Linked DNA regions of Danio rerio. Each later gene encodes a partner of the first gene's protein in a complex. Links are inferred from orthologs where the notes say so. Each region holds a gene or a part of one and is shown in the gene's direction. Other genes may lie near its edges.

The links.
Region 2: stk24b (region 1) and strn4 share a complex: the UniProt entries of both Homo sapiens proteins name them as parts of the core of STRIPAK complex. The link is inferred for Danio rerio from reciprocal best matches to the Homo sapiens genes STK24 and STRN4.

The regions. Positions count from the first base shown.
Region 1 is NC_133181.1:13,496,997-13,504,293, forward strand, and holds part of stk24b (serine/threonine-protein kinase 24), read left to right. Parts: intron 1-4,400; coding exon 4,401-4,558; intron 4,559-5,267; coding exon 5,268-5,453; intron 5,454-6,727; coding exon 6,728-6,873; intron 6,874-7,297. UniProt on the Homo sapiens protein: Serine/threonine-protein kinase that acts on both serine and threonine residues and promotes apoptosis in response to stress stimuli and caspase activation.
Region 2 is NC_133190.1:13,787,357-13,794,653, forward strand, and holds part of strn4 (striatin-4), read left to right. Parts: intron 1-649; coding exon 650-825; intron 826-973; coding exon 974-1,021; intron 1,022-3,302; coding exon 3,303-3,424; intron 3,425-4,113; coding exon 4,114-4,281; intron 4,282-4,353; coding exon 4,354-4,494; intron 4,495-6,728; coding exon 6,729-6,827; intron 6,828-7,297. UniProt on the Homo sapiens protein: Calmodulin-binding scaffolding protein which is the center of the striatin-interacting phosphatase and kinase (STRIPAK) complexes.

The DNA.
Region 1 (7,297 bases):
CAACAACAAAACTTTTCCCCGCATCATTCCCGGTGTGTGGTACATTCTGTAAAGTTTAATAAAGACAACGTTTATTTAGTAAGCACACTTTATTTTGTTCAATCCCTCCTCGCACACACGAGACATCTTCAACTGAACTTTTCCCAACACCAACCCCGCCCCTGCGCGCTCTCTCATTTGTAACCCGGATAACCTTCTTAGAGGTCAACAAAGTAGAGAGATAACAACATGTTAACACATTCTACGCCACTTCCGCTGTGTGGTACATTCCCTTTGCGTAAGGAATCTGTAATTGTAAATTTGTTTTGAGACTTGTAAAATTGTTTTGCGTCTTGTTAATTTTTTTTTCTAAAATGTAAATTTGTTTCATCCTTGGTAAAATTGTTTTTCCTATGTAATTGTGTCTGATGATAGGTAAAACGTTTTTCAAAATGTAAATTTGTCTCGAGCTTTGTAAAAGTGTTTCACACTTTGTAATGTTGTTTTGCACTTCCCGTCTACCGTAGTAGTGGGTTCAGAATTTAGCCATCTGTATGTGATGCGCTTCAAATTCAGATTGTTTTTAATGAACTTATGCAGTAAAAATTTTCTCAAAACATCTAGTGAATTCCATAAATTTGTGTAGATTTCTCATGTTTATTTTTAGTGTTTGAACAAGAACCAGACTGTGATGCTTAATTTATTCAAAAGTGCATGTTGCACACTGTCAGAAGACGTGCAAATATAAAGGATTTTATAGGGGCTTAGTTATTTTTATTTTTTTTGTAAAAACAACTACCACAGTTGACATATTTTTTTTATTTTGATCTTAGCTTATAGTCGGCATGTTTTCTGCTCATTTTGCTAGCATGGTTCACATGTAAAAGTAAGCCCAGTTTAGAGTGGACATTGTGATATGCTTTGTAACCTTTTCAAGCTCATAGGAAGCTGAAGGTTTACAAAGCATAATAAAGCTACTTTAGAGCATTTTTTAGATTTTGATAGCAAGGTTATTGAGACATGTTTACAAACACTTGTTCAACATAAGAATGATATCCAGTTTGCACTTGATTAGTTTACTTATAACAACGCGTAAAAAACTACATAATAAATACAGCTGTTATGCTAGATTCTGTGCTACACAAAGTACTGTTCAACAGTCAGATCTGTCACCTGCATCGTTTAGAAATGAGCACTAACAGTATTTACATCTTTTCATACAGCCGTTCAGATTTTATTTAATTTCACCGTGATCAAATAACGGGAAATGCAAGAGCACAGAGATGAGAGCCAATTATGGATTCTTCCACTGCCGTTTACTGTCGCTTAGCAAAATGGAGCACTTTGAAGTTGCGGTTTTATGTAACATTAGCAGATCTGTGCAACCAAATCTTACTGGTCGGTCAGTTTTATTCAGAGTCCAATGAAAAAGCACATATCTGCTGTGACTTGAATGTTTGTTGGTCCAGATAGACAGAAGAAGATTTAATTTATTCAGACATATTTTGACACCAGATATTTGCCTTGGTGTTATTCAGCTTCTATGATTTGTTTGTAATCTGTTATGTGACTTTATTATTTGCATATATCAGATTTTAAAATGTAAAGTTCGTAAAATCGTGAACCATCAGTAAAAGAGTCAATCATCTTTTAACCAGGATACTACAGTACACATTTGCTTTACTAATATATATATATAAATATATATATATATATATATATATATATATATATATATATATATATATATATATATATATTCATTCATTCATTCATTCATTTATTCATTCATTCATATATATATATATATATATATATATATATATATATATATATATTTATTTATATATATATATATATATATTTATTTATATATATATATATATATATATATATATATATATATATATTTATTTATATATATATATATATATTTATTTATTTTATATATATATATATATATATATATATATATATATATATATATATATTTTATTTATATATATATATATATATATATATATATATATATATATATATATATATATATATATATATATATATATATATATATATATATATATATATATATTAGTAAAGCAAATGTGTACTGTAGTATCCTGGTTAAAAGATGATTGACTCTTTTACTGATGGTTCACGATTCATTTATTGGTCACATACCTTAGAACTATTACACAATATAGTGTCATGAATCACAGTAAGAACTAGAGAGAAAACAAACAAACACAAATGAATCTTGAAAGTTGAAACACTAAACCAACAATCTGAAAAAAAAAAAAAAGAAACCGATCCATGAACTGTGTACTGTAAAGTTCCTTTCAAGCTCTGACAAAGTCCCACACATCAATAGTCTTTTCGGATCCTTCCTTTAACCAACGGCTGATGAATCCCCCGTTGTAAGGGTGTAGACTGCTAAAGCACTCGTTAGAAAAATGCACAGGGCTGGGGCTATAATGCTGAGGTATTCTTGCAAAAATAATCTTCAGCCACTCACTTTTCACAGCCTCATCTTTGGGTAGAGAAACTTTCCCTCACACTTCAGAGCACAGCGTCTTCGTGACATGATTCAACTGGAAATTGCTACAGTGTTTGTCTTCCTCTTTTTCTTTCTACAGTGTATGTGCATGGGACTAGGGTTTAAATTTTCCTGTTCAACATTTCTACCGTTTTGAATTGTCACATATTTAAATCGATTTACACTACGGTTTTCGAGCCATGTATTGGACTATTTTTCAGTTCAGCATAAAAGGAGACACACATGTCATTTGCTTTCCATTTATATTATAACACAGCGCCCCCTCTGTTTAAAAAATGTATTGGGATTCGTTCAACATTTCTATCGGTTTGAATTGTCACATATTTAAATCTATTTACATTACGTTTTTTGAGTTATGAATCATACTATTTTTCGGTTCAGCAAAAAAGCAGACACACGTCATTTGCTTTCCATTTATATTATATTTTAACACAGCGCCCCCTCTCTTCAAAAAATGTATCACGATTCGTTCAACATTTCCGGTTTAAATCGTTGCATATTTAAATCGATTTACACTGCGGATTTTGAGTCACTGAATTGTTTTCGGTTTAGAGACCCAAATAGTCACCTTAGAATTATAAGGCTCTATCTGACATTTTTAACAAAATTGAGTTATTGACATATTCTTATAAAAAAACATCCCATAATGTAAATAAGTTGTTTACATTTGAACATTTTTTAATTTAAAAAAAACAATGTTACACACTTACTGTTTGCTATGAAATGCAAAAACTTTGAAGCTCAATATCTCAAAATCATTCAGAACGCAGATAGAACCTTATAATTCTAAGTTGAAGAAATGTCATTTGCTTTCCATTTATATTATATTATAACAAAGTGCCCCCTCTGTTAGAAAAAATGTATCGCGATTTGTTCAACATTTCTACTGGTTTGAATCACCAATTATTTAATTTTATTTACACTACGGTTTTTGAGTCACTGATTGAACCATTTTTCGGATCAGCAAAAAAAGGGACAAATGTCATTTGCTTTCCATTTATATTATATTATAACACAGCGCCCCCTATGTTCAAATATGTATTGCGATTCTTTTAACATTTTAACCGGTTTCAATCGTCCCATATTTGAATAAATTTTTAACCTGCTCACAATGAATCGTTACATCCCTAGTGGCTGTATTATTTGCATGTATCAGATTTTACAACTTTACAGTTGTAATTTTTTTAAATGATTAATACTGTGAAGGGAAAAACATCAAATTAAAACGACATAAAAATATATTACATTTTTTTTAGTAAAGCAAATGTGTACAATAATACAATAAGTTGATAACATACGATGTTATCCATTTAAATAAATAGCCATATGCAGGTTATCATTTTTGGAAACCTATTCAGTGCTATAGTTTTAAAGGTTGTTTATCGCCACCCGGTGGTAACAGAGTGTAATTGCTACAACATTCACTAGCGTCAAGTTCCATCAAACTGTGATTTTTATCTTTACCATAAACATCAGTGTGTTTATATCTGAACTATAAACTGTTCTCTCAGTACTATTGTGTTATTTAATTTTGTAACGAACTGAAAAAGGGTAAGAACAGTATCTCTCTCGATCAAACACAGATTTGAATGCAGCCCTTTCGAAGGAACAAACATGCAAATCATCACCATTTATCATACATGTTGCGTGGGGTTGAATTGAGATCACGATCTTTAAATGTTTAATCTTGCAGCTTTACACTGAATGCATAATTGCAGGCTAAACAAACAGTGATAAACCGTGATCCGTTACACCCCTATTTTCTATGCACCCCATTTGGGGCCCCAGTTTGACATAAATGTTGCATTTCTGAAGTTATCATACACTCTCCCTCACACTGTCTTTTCTCATTTCTTTTTTTTAGCCGCAAATGTATTATTGTCGGAGCAAGGGGAGGTGAAGCTGGCAGATTTCGGTGTGGCCGGTCAGCTCACGGACACACAGATCAAGCGGAACACTTTCGTGGGCACACCCTTCTGGATGGCACCTGAGGTCATCAAACAGTCCGCTTATGATTCAAAGGTGAGAGCCACTGAACAAAAGTCAAGGGCTGTGCTGCAGATCAGTCACTGCACCAGACGTCTGGATCTGCTGTTGATCGTGACTACTTGTTAGATTTTTCCCCAAGTGAATCATTGTGATGTGATTTCATCAAGTGACTTGGAAGTGGACTGGGTCTGGTTGCATGAAAGTCCTTAGAGAACCCGTGAAGTGCTTTAAAATGTGCAATTTTATTCGATGTTTGATGTAATCTCAACTGACACATAAAGAGAGAGGGTGGGACTGAGACATGGGGTAGCTCCTCCCTTTTATAAAAAAAAACAGCCAATAGCATTTTGTTTTCATCACAGCGCTGCCAGTGAAAGTGGTTGGGATCAAGCTGATCAAATGAAAAGCAAATGAGAAGCGTCTTGAAGGGGGCGGGGCATGTCAGATACTAGAGATCATTTGATTGGTCAAGATTTAATAAGAAACTAAAGTATGAGGTAACATGAATAAATCCGTTGATTCATTTAGGCAGAAGTGACGAACTACAAGCTTTACATGTATATGTCAGTTTTGTATCTTCTAAACACGAATTTTGTCACTGATTAACTGCGCACTAGCTTATAGATATCCTAAAAACTAGCAATACTAATACTAACACCTAAAAAAACAACTTTTTTTTATTTCATGGGGTCTTTAACATGCATCCGGGCCCTGGTCATGAAAACGTTGTGTTTGTTCTCAGGCTGATATTTGGTCATTGGGCATCACGGCGATTGAGCTGGCTAAAGGAGAGCCCCCCCACTCCGACCTACATCCAATGAAGGTGCTGTTCCTCATTCCAAAGAACAACCCCCCCACACTGGAGGGCAACTACTGCAAACCGCTCAAAGAGTTTGTGGAGGCCTGTCTAAACAAAGAGCCCAGTTTTGTGAGTATGTTTTTTGGGGACTCCCAGAGGTCATTTTCCATATCCTTTTTAACTCGTTCACTGATCTTTCTGGCAAAACAATTTGTTCTGTTTTTGCTGCTGAGGTCATTTTCATTTAGACATGTGCTATATTTGTTCCTGAAACAGACCCTCCAGGATTTCGCGATCCCAGCGAATTCTGAATTTAACGCAAAATGTCACAAAATTTCACAACATAGTCGTAGATTTCTCTTATTTTGAGCGGTCAGCACAGTGTTTGAATTCCTGTCACACCACAGTGCGCAATCTGCATAGTTGTACATTGAAAAACGTTACACAAAGTAAATTTTGCTGCTTGTTCAAACAACTTATTTAAAACAAACTGAAACATCACAATTCTTGAGTTTTTTTTGGGGGACAACTTAATTTTTTTTACGTTCAATCCACTTAAATTAGTTTAATCAATTAAGTTAAATTGATCGGTTTGTGTTGGGACAACATGAAGTAATTGTGTGAATGTTTTAATTCTTTTTTTGTATAGTAGTGGGAAGGTATGATTGGTTTCTGTCATTTCTTAATTATTCTGAAGTATATGTATTATAATATCTAGTTTTATGGGAAAGTAAGAGTCGGTTTAAACTAAGACGCTCTATAATTTCGTATTCTGCACCGTGCATGGTCTTGTTAAATACCAATAAATAAAAAAGTACAAAAAGAAAACGAAAACAGTATTTGCGAACACAATGTGCTTGTGTGCTGTGTAAAGCCTTGAGTTGTCACATACACACTCTTCCTTTGATGTGTGATCTGCGTCATGTGACGTTATGGCAAAGCGGATTCATAAACTTCTATTTATTGTATATAATCGTCATAAGCGTAGCCCTCTCTCTTTTTCTCTCTCACGTACACACACATAAGCATGCATTCTCTGCATAATTTCCATCAACTGTCATATCGGTCAAACAACATGGATGACACTTCAAACAACTGGTTTCATTTTTAAATATGATACAGCAGGATTTATGGGTAACCTCTAGTTTTCCTTTATATAAATTAAAGAGATCAATTTTCTTGAGGTCAAAAAATTAAGAGGAGTAAGTTTGTATATATTTTCACCTCAAAGCAATAATAGAAGTGGTGTAAAATTTGCTGCAAGTATTGCAAAACTAAAAAATAAAAATAAAAAAGATCATTTTAAAATCCTTGAGGTACTGTTGAATCAGGCATTAGCAATGAGGTTTTGTTTCATAGGACCTGTCGTGATGGTTTCTGTGTCTTTCTGTCTTCTTCCTCAGAGACCGACAGCCAAAGAGTTGCTCAAACACAAGCTCATTGTGCGCTTTGCGAAGAAAACATCCTACCTGACGGAGCTCATCGACAAATACAAGCGATGGAAAGCCGAACAGTCGAGAGCAGAGTCCAGTTCTGATGAATCTGACTCGTAAGACTGCTAAAATTACTTTCACATTTACATTTCATACAATTGTCTGCTTAAAAATTATTAATTTGGCGTCAATAATTCACCCTTAAGTCATTTCTTAATAGTATGTTTTTCTTTATTTTTCAAAAAAATATTCTATTCTATTCTATTATTTTATATTATTATGTTATGTTATGTTATATTATATTATATTATATTATATTATATTATATTATATTATATTATATTATATTACATTATATTATATTATATTTAAGAACATTAGAATCAAAACAATATTAGATCCCTTTAGCTTTTATAGTATATAAAAAACAAAACAATAAAACATTTCTCAAAATATCATCCATTCTAGATAACGACATACAGTTTGTTTGTTTTTTTACCAACATAAAGGTGTGTAAATGACAGAATTTTCATTTTTGAG
Region 2 (7,297 bases), on another chromosome or scaffold:
TCAGATGCCCTTGCATAACTTCCTCTGTTTGAGCGCAAGATACTGACACTGAAGAGAAGAAACTGCAGACTAAAGTAGCTACTTTTAATTTTATTTTACTTTTAGTTTTCTCGTCATGTCGTCACTAATCAAAAAAAATGCTTTTCAGGAAAACTTTTAAGGCCTCCTATTTTTTACCCCTTTTACAAGATGTAGGGTAAGTCTTCGTTCAGATAATTTTACCTAGCAGAGTATTTATTATACAATGCAGAAGTTTTGGCTTAGAACAAGGTATAACTGTTTTTTGTAGCCTGTGCCTTTAAATGCAAATGAGCTAGAAATCTTGTTCTGTGGACATGTTTATACACTTTACCACGGAGACATGTTAAAATGCACCTGTCAATCAAATCGTCACTCTGTCACATCGCAGTGGGCCACAAAATCACTGGGATTTGGATCCTATTTTAATGGCAGGAAACTTACTTATTGTGTTTATATCACTCCAGTATGACTGTGGACACTCTATACCTACACATACTTCTGTCCAAACAGCTTCTAAAAGTTTATTTTGCATCATAGGTACCCTTTAACGGAATATGGGCAGTTTTCAAGTATAGAATTCTTTCATAATATGCAAACAAGTCTTTGATAATTTTGGTTCCATGTCCAGTTGCAGGACAGTCGAGAAGAGTTCAAGAAAACGTGGAACCCTCGCTTCACACTGCGAAGCCACTTTGACGCCATCCGAGCGCTGTCCTTTCACCCCAGTCAGGCCGTGCTGCTGTCTGCATCTGAGGATGGGACGCTCAAACTGTGGAACCTCAACAAGGCCATGCACTCAAAAAAGTAAGAGCCAAAGCAGCCTGTACTTTATCGCCTCCTTGTGCGGATAGAATTGCGTTAGTGTAGGTGTCTCTGGAAGCATATTTAGAATTATTGATCTATAACTGAGTTGTGTCTCTGTGTGCTGAGCGTCTCGTTTGTGTTTTCACAGAAATGCAGCGCTGGACGTTGAGCCTATTTATACTTTCCGAGCACACAGGTGAGCGAGTCCAGCTGAAAATCACATAACATGAGCCACAGCTAACAAACTCTGTCTGGTGCTTTAGGCAAAATCATGAGTCTAAAACTCAGTCGCTGTCATGATGTATTCAGGTCATTTCTGACCCATTTCTTTAAAAACAAAACTGCAAAGTTATTAGTATAAACTAGGGATGAACAATGTATGATTTGATGATTGATATCGCAATGTGTGCGTCTTCAATACACACATTGCAAGATTATTTGTTAAATATTTTAATTAAATATTATATATATATATATATATATATATATATATATATATATATATATTAATATTATTATTAAAAAAATAGTATATTATTAAATATTATATTGTTTTAAATTATTTATACATTGACGATCTGCTATTTGACATTTGATTTTTGTACTTGAATACCATTAGACACCTCAGAAAACCATAAAGCAGTTTATTTATTTATTTTTGATTGGAATTTATTATAATATCACTTCATAAAAAAGACTTGATCTCATCTCTGTTGATCTAAATAAATGAAATCTTCCAAAACATAGCTATTTAAATCATCTGTTGAAATTAGAATCATATCACAATATATGTTGCAGCAAAACAAAAAAATCACAATGTTTAATTTTTCCAATATTATGCAGTTCTAGTACAGACCTACCTAAATTATTTAGCATTATTTCATTTATTTTAACAGTTTTTTTTATATGTACGTACATACGTGCATACATTATGCATAATTATTTAAAGATTTTATAAAGTTTATGTTTGAGTAATTTTTTTGAAGGGGGGAGGGGGTATGTATGGGGTCCTGTGTCAAAAATCTTGATTTTTGTGCTGTGCTTTTAGTTAATATTTTTTATTTATTTATTTTGTGTGTGTGATGTCATTTTATTTTTTGTTGCTTTGTATTGTATTTTTGTATTGTTATTATTCGTATGTATGTACAAAATCTTGATTTTATGGTGTTTCATTTAGTGTTTTGTTCTTGTCTAGTTTTTGTTTTAGTTTTTTTGTTAAATTTTATGTTTTGTTTTGTCTTGTGTTGTCATTTTATTTATTGTTTTGCTCTCTTGTTTTTTGTTATGTTTAGTTTTGTGTATTTTATTTTTTGTTATGTTTTATTACATTTTTTAAGGTTACACCTTTTATGTTTGAGTCATTTTGGACCTGCGTATGTGGTCCTTTTAGGTGTCAAAAGGCTTGATGTTATTTTATTTTCATTCATACATATATTTTCTTTTCGGCTTAGTCTCTTTATTAGTCTGGGGTCACCACAGCAGAATGAGCCGGCCACTTATCCAGCAAATGTTTTATGCAGCAGTTGCCCTTCCAGCTGCAACCCATCACTGGGAAAGTTTATTTTTATTTAATTTTGTTTTAATTTTGCTTAAAGTAGATTTAATCTTTCCATGTTTGTCACACAGTTGTGAGTGAATTTTATTGATAATCATTAGAAAGTACACCCGAAGATCACATTTATTTGGACATATTTACAGGGTTCCCACATTTCTTAAAAGTTTTTCGAAGTGCTTGATTTTTAGACATACGGATTCAAAGCCTTGAAATTACTTAAAAACAAACGTAGATTCTTGAAAATGTTTAAATTTAAAGTTGATGGTGTTATTTCAACAATTGTCCTGTGGTACTTTCAAAAAATGAACAAAAAAGCTAAGAATATCATTTATTTAAAAACTTATATTTCAATCTTATACATGAACTATGACAAATAATGAATTTTAGCAATATTTTAGGAACCACATTTGAATATTGCCAGGATTAAAGTCAACTTATTATATTGAAGTTCTTTGAACATGACTTTAAAATGTAATAATGATGATGTTTTTAATGCCATTTTTTTAAAATGTTGACCTTTTTCATCAAGCGTTTTAATGCAAATATTAAATATAGGTGAAATGTTAAGTAAAGGAAGGACATTCATGGTGCTAGTCTATATATGCTGGGCGTGTGAATTACAAAGGTGCTTGATGTAAAATATTATTGATTTAAAAAGTCCTTGAATTTAGTGTCATGAAAGAGTGGAAACTGTATTTAGTAATATGTATAAGTAATATGTGTAATGTTTTGTCAGAACAAATATTTTAAATTTCATAAAGTTTTGAAATGGTTAGGTTCATGACTAAATGAAAGGTGTGTGTAATTATGAGTTGAATTTCAGGAGTAAAAAAGTTTTTTCAGTAAAAAAGTTAACTATTAAAATGTATACATTGATTCTTAATTTTATGTATCATTTTGTTTTTGATTGGGTTTGGTTTAGTGGTGCTGTTCTTTCTCTGGCTATGGGAGAGGAAGGAGAATCATGCTTCAGCGGGGGTCTGGATGGCACCATTCGTGGATGGAAAATCCCAGACCTCAACGTGGATCCTTACGACAACTATGGCATGTCTACTTAATGCTGCATGTCTGTCTGTCTGTCTGTCTGTCTGTCTATCCATCCATCTATCTGCGTATTTAACATTATTTTTATTTTGCATACATAGAGAAAAATGTATTTACACCATTTACTAAAAAAACTACCCAAAATAAGACTTTTTGTAGCTTTTGGCATTTTCACGCAGCTTTTTCATTTTTCTTTTCTTTAATTCAATTATGCAGTAACCCAAATTTCACAAAAATATATATGGAAACTTTTTTTTTGTTTTGGATTTATGATTTTACAATTTTAAACAGATTTTTTAGTCTGTTTGTTTTACTTTTTACATCTTTAATGTATTTATTTTATCTGGCTTGCTGCTAAAACTTCTGTAAAATTGTGATTATTAAACAGAGAATTCTACTATGTTTGTCAAAATCTTTTTAAATAGTCTAACAACTCCTTTTGCAGTTTAACATTCACAAACACTAGCCCATATTGAGAAGTGTACAAACCAAAGTTTCATTAATCAATCCAAAATATGCAAACTTCAATAACATTCTGAGTTTGATAAAATCTCTCACAGTGTCACTGTAAAAGACAGAGGTTTTTGCTTGAGTTTCTGTGCAGTCCTCCAGAGGGCACTGTTTGTAAATGAAATAACCTCACACACATACAATACGCAGGACATCCAGTAACAGTGTTTTATTTTCAGATCCTGGTGTGGAGAGTAGTGTTTTGTCAGGCCACGAGGACGCTGTCTGGGGATTGGCCTTCTCCTCCAGCCTACAGCGTTTGGCCTCCTGCTCCGCCGATGGGACAGTGCGCATCTGGGACCCTCATAATTCTTCCCCGTGTGTTTCTGTCTTCAACAAGGAGAAAGGTGAGGAGTGTTGTTTGTTTGTACTGTAAGTGTGTGTGTTTTTTTTGGCTAATTGACTTTTTGTTTTTCCAGAACATGGCACTCCCACCTCGGTTGCCTTTGTAAATGCAGACCCGTCCCAGGTCGTGGTGTCTTTCGATGGGGGCGAGACTCTGCTTTATGACCTTAACACAGAGCAAAGTATCATGGTCCTGGAGACTCAGACTAAAGATGGTAAAAGGCTGTTCATACTGGAAATGACATCCAGAAAAATATTACTCTGCGTTAAACACGTTTTGAAAGGCTTTGGAAAATAGAATTGTTTATAAATTAATTGAATTGTTCAGTTATATTGTTAAATGATTGTCATATATGATCCTTAAAGAAGGATGCAAATAGATTGATTGCTATGTAGTTTGCTATATTTATATTTACATTTTACATTTTAGCAGTTTAAAGATGTGTAAAGGGTGTATCTGTGTAATATGTGTGTTTATATGCAAATGAATAATTCATACTACACTTTTATTGCGAGATAAACAGTACATATTTTTGTTTTGTTTCTGTTTGCCAGGTTAATGGCTAAAATTAATGAAAACTTTAAGCAAATCAAATGTTAGTTGTGAGAAATATAATTATTTTTATTAATCTATCATATTATACATATTATAATCAAAAATGTACACAAAGTAATTCTCATAAATAAGCCTTCTGAAATATTTTAAATTACTTATGTGCATGTCAACTATTATCATATGTATCATCATTATTATTATTATTATTATCAGCATTACTTAACAGAATAAATAAGGATGAGTTAAAATAGTTTTATATAGTATTTATAGTTATAGGTATTATTATGTAAAAATGTCCTAAACTTTGAATAATTAAAAATAATGTTGACATTGTTTTTAAATGTTCTAGAATTATTTATTAGAATTGAATATTTAAAAGTAATGTTGACATTGTTTTTAAATGTTCTAGAATTATTTATTAGAATTGACTTATTACATGTGCACACCACAAACACACACATGCATGTGTATGTGTATATATATATATATGAGCAATATCACATGAGTAGCAGTGCGATGTGGCTGTATATCAGCACTGGTGGGAGACATACGGGCAGAGTGCCTTAATGTCCCACCGGAGACAATGTACAGCCAAATCACACTGCTATGAGTGTGATATTGTGTTTATCGAACAGTTTGACGGCACAATCGTAATCATATTAAAAAAAAATCAAAAACCCTTTTGTATGAGGATTTACTTTTGCCATTCATTTGCAACTGCAGCTGACATCAGAACAGCAGAAATCTGTGCTACTTCAAATGTCACTTTACAGCTATGACTTAAATGATTCCTTAGCGTTATATCTAAAGTGATGACAAAACAGGGGATTTTGCTCACATTTTAACATTATAAGGCTGAACGGCATGAAATTCCATCACTCTACAGAAATTTTCCAGTATATCTCTGTTGCAGATCAGAATAATTAACCCCGAAAAAGCCAAAGCAACGCAAGCACTACTAGATTACTATGGTATAAATACAGCACTACAACATACAAAAGAAAGAGATAGACTTAGAATGTCACTTACCTGTTTTAAAATGATTTGATCTGCTGTATTTTCAGTTTGAAAATACGCCAATCTTTTCTTCTTAAGCACTTATTATGCCAGGCATGTCCAATCTCGGTCCTGGAGGGCCAGTGTCCTGCAAAGTTTAGTTCCAACACCTATCAGACACACCTGGGCTAGCTAATCAAGCTCTTTTTAGAAACATCCTTGCAGGTGTGTTGAGATGAGTTGAGGCTAAAAGCTGCTGGACACCGTCCCTCCAGGACAGAGTTTGGACACTCCTGTATTATGTGGTCTGTGTCGCCATCTTGTGGCAGAATGTCAATTGTCTTTGCTGTGCTCAGTATGACAGGCTGATGGATGTCGACTCACTGAATCTCAGAATTTATAAATATTTAAAAAACAGTCGCTATCCCTATAGATAAACTGCATAGATTCAATCTAAACAACTACATTCTTGCCTAAAAAAGCCTCAAAAGTACAATATGTTGTCCAACAGGTGCAATATTTGTCGAACTGTAGTGAGTTTATTGATATGCTGTCACTCTATGTGGGCAGAGTAATACAGAAGGTTGAGAAGGCTGTACGAGTAGTGTTATTTGCAGGTGTAATTTGTTATTTGTATTATATATATATATATATATATATATATATATATATATATATATATATATATATATATATATATATACATAAAAATAATAGATATAGGAAGAAATATAACTAATATTATATGATGTAATGCGTGAAATAATTCCTGACCTGCATCATAATGTTACTTGAATATGATTGCTGGTCTATGAAGCTGTGAAGACAGTTTCTAATGGATTTGTCATCTACTGCACAGTAATACTAAAATACTGTTTTTGTTCATGTCTCCTGCAGGCAGCGAGCTGATTAACCGTGTGGTCAGTCATCCGTCCCAACCCATCTCCATTACAGCCCATGAGAACCGCACCATCCGCTTCCTGGACAACAACACAGGTGTGTGTGCTTTTGGTATTCATCACATCCCCACAAGTATAGCAATACCAGTCTTTTTTAACCTTGTATGAAAATTTTTGAACCCCATGAGGATAACGGCTTATAAATGATCCAGAATGAAGTATTTTGAAAAAGTAAAAGCATGTTTTATTGTGAGCGTAGAGTTGGTTGTCAAAATATACAGTCTACAGTTAAAAGCATGAAAAACCAATGTGCGTCCGTGTGTGGAGTGCAGTTTTTCTGTTAATAATAACGCTGTGTATTTTCCAGCTGTGCTCTGTCGGTTCTGTAAATACACCACCAAAGCTATTTGACTCTGCTAGCGTGTAATCACAACAGACCTCCAAAAGCAGTAAAAAAAAAAAAAAAAAAAAACTTTAGTGTAAAAAATATTAAATAAACCTCAATTGAATCTGGGCCAGGCATCAACCTTTACTCGCCAGTTTCTAAAGCCAGAGTACTTTAAGAGA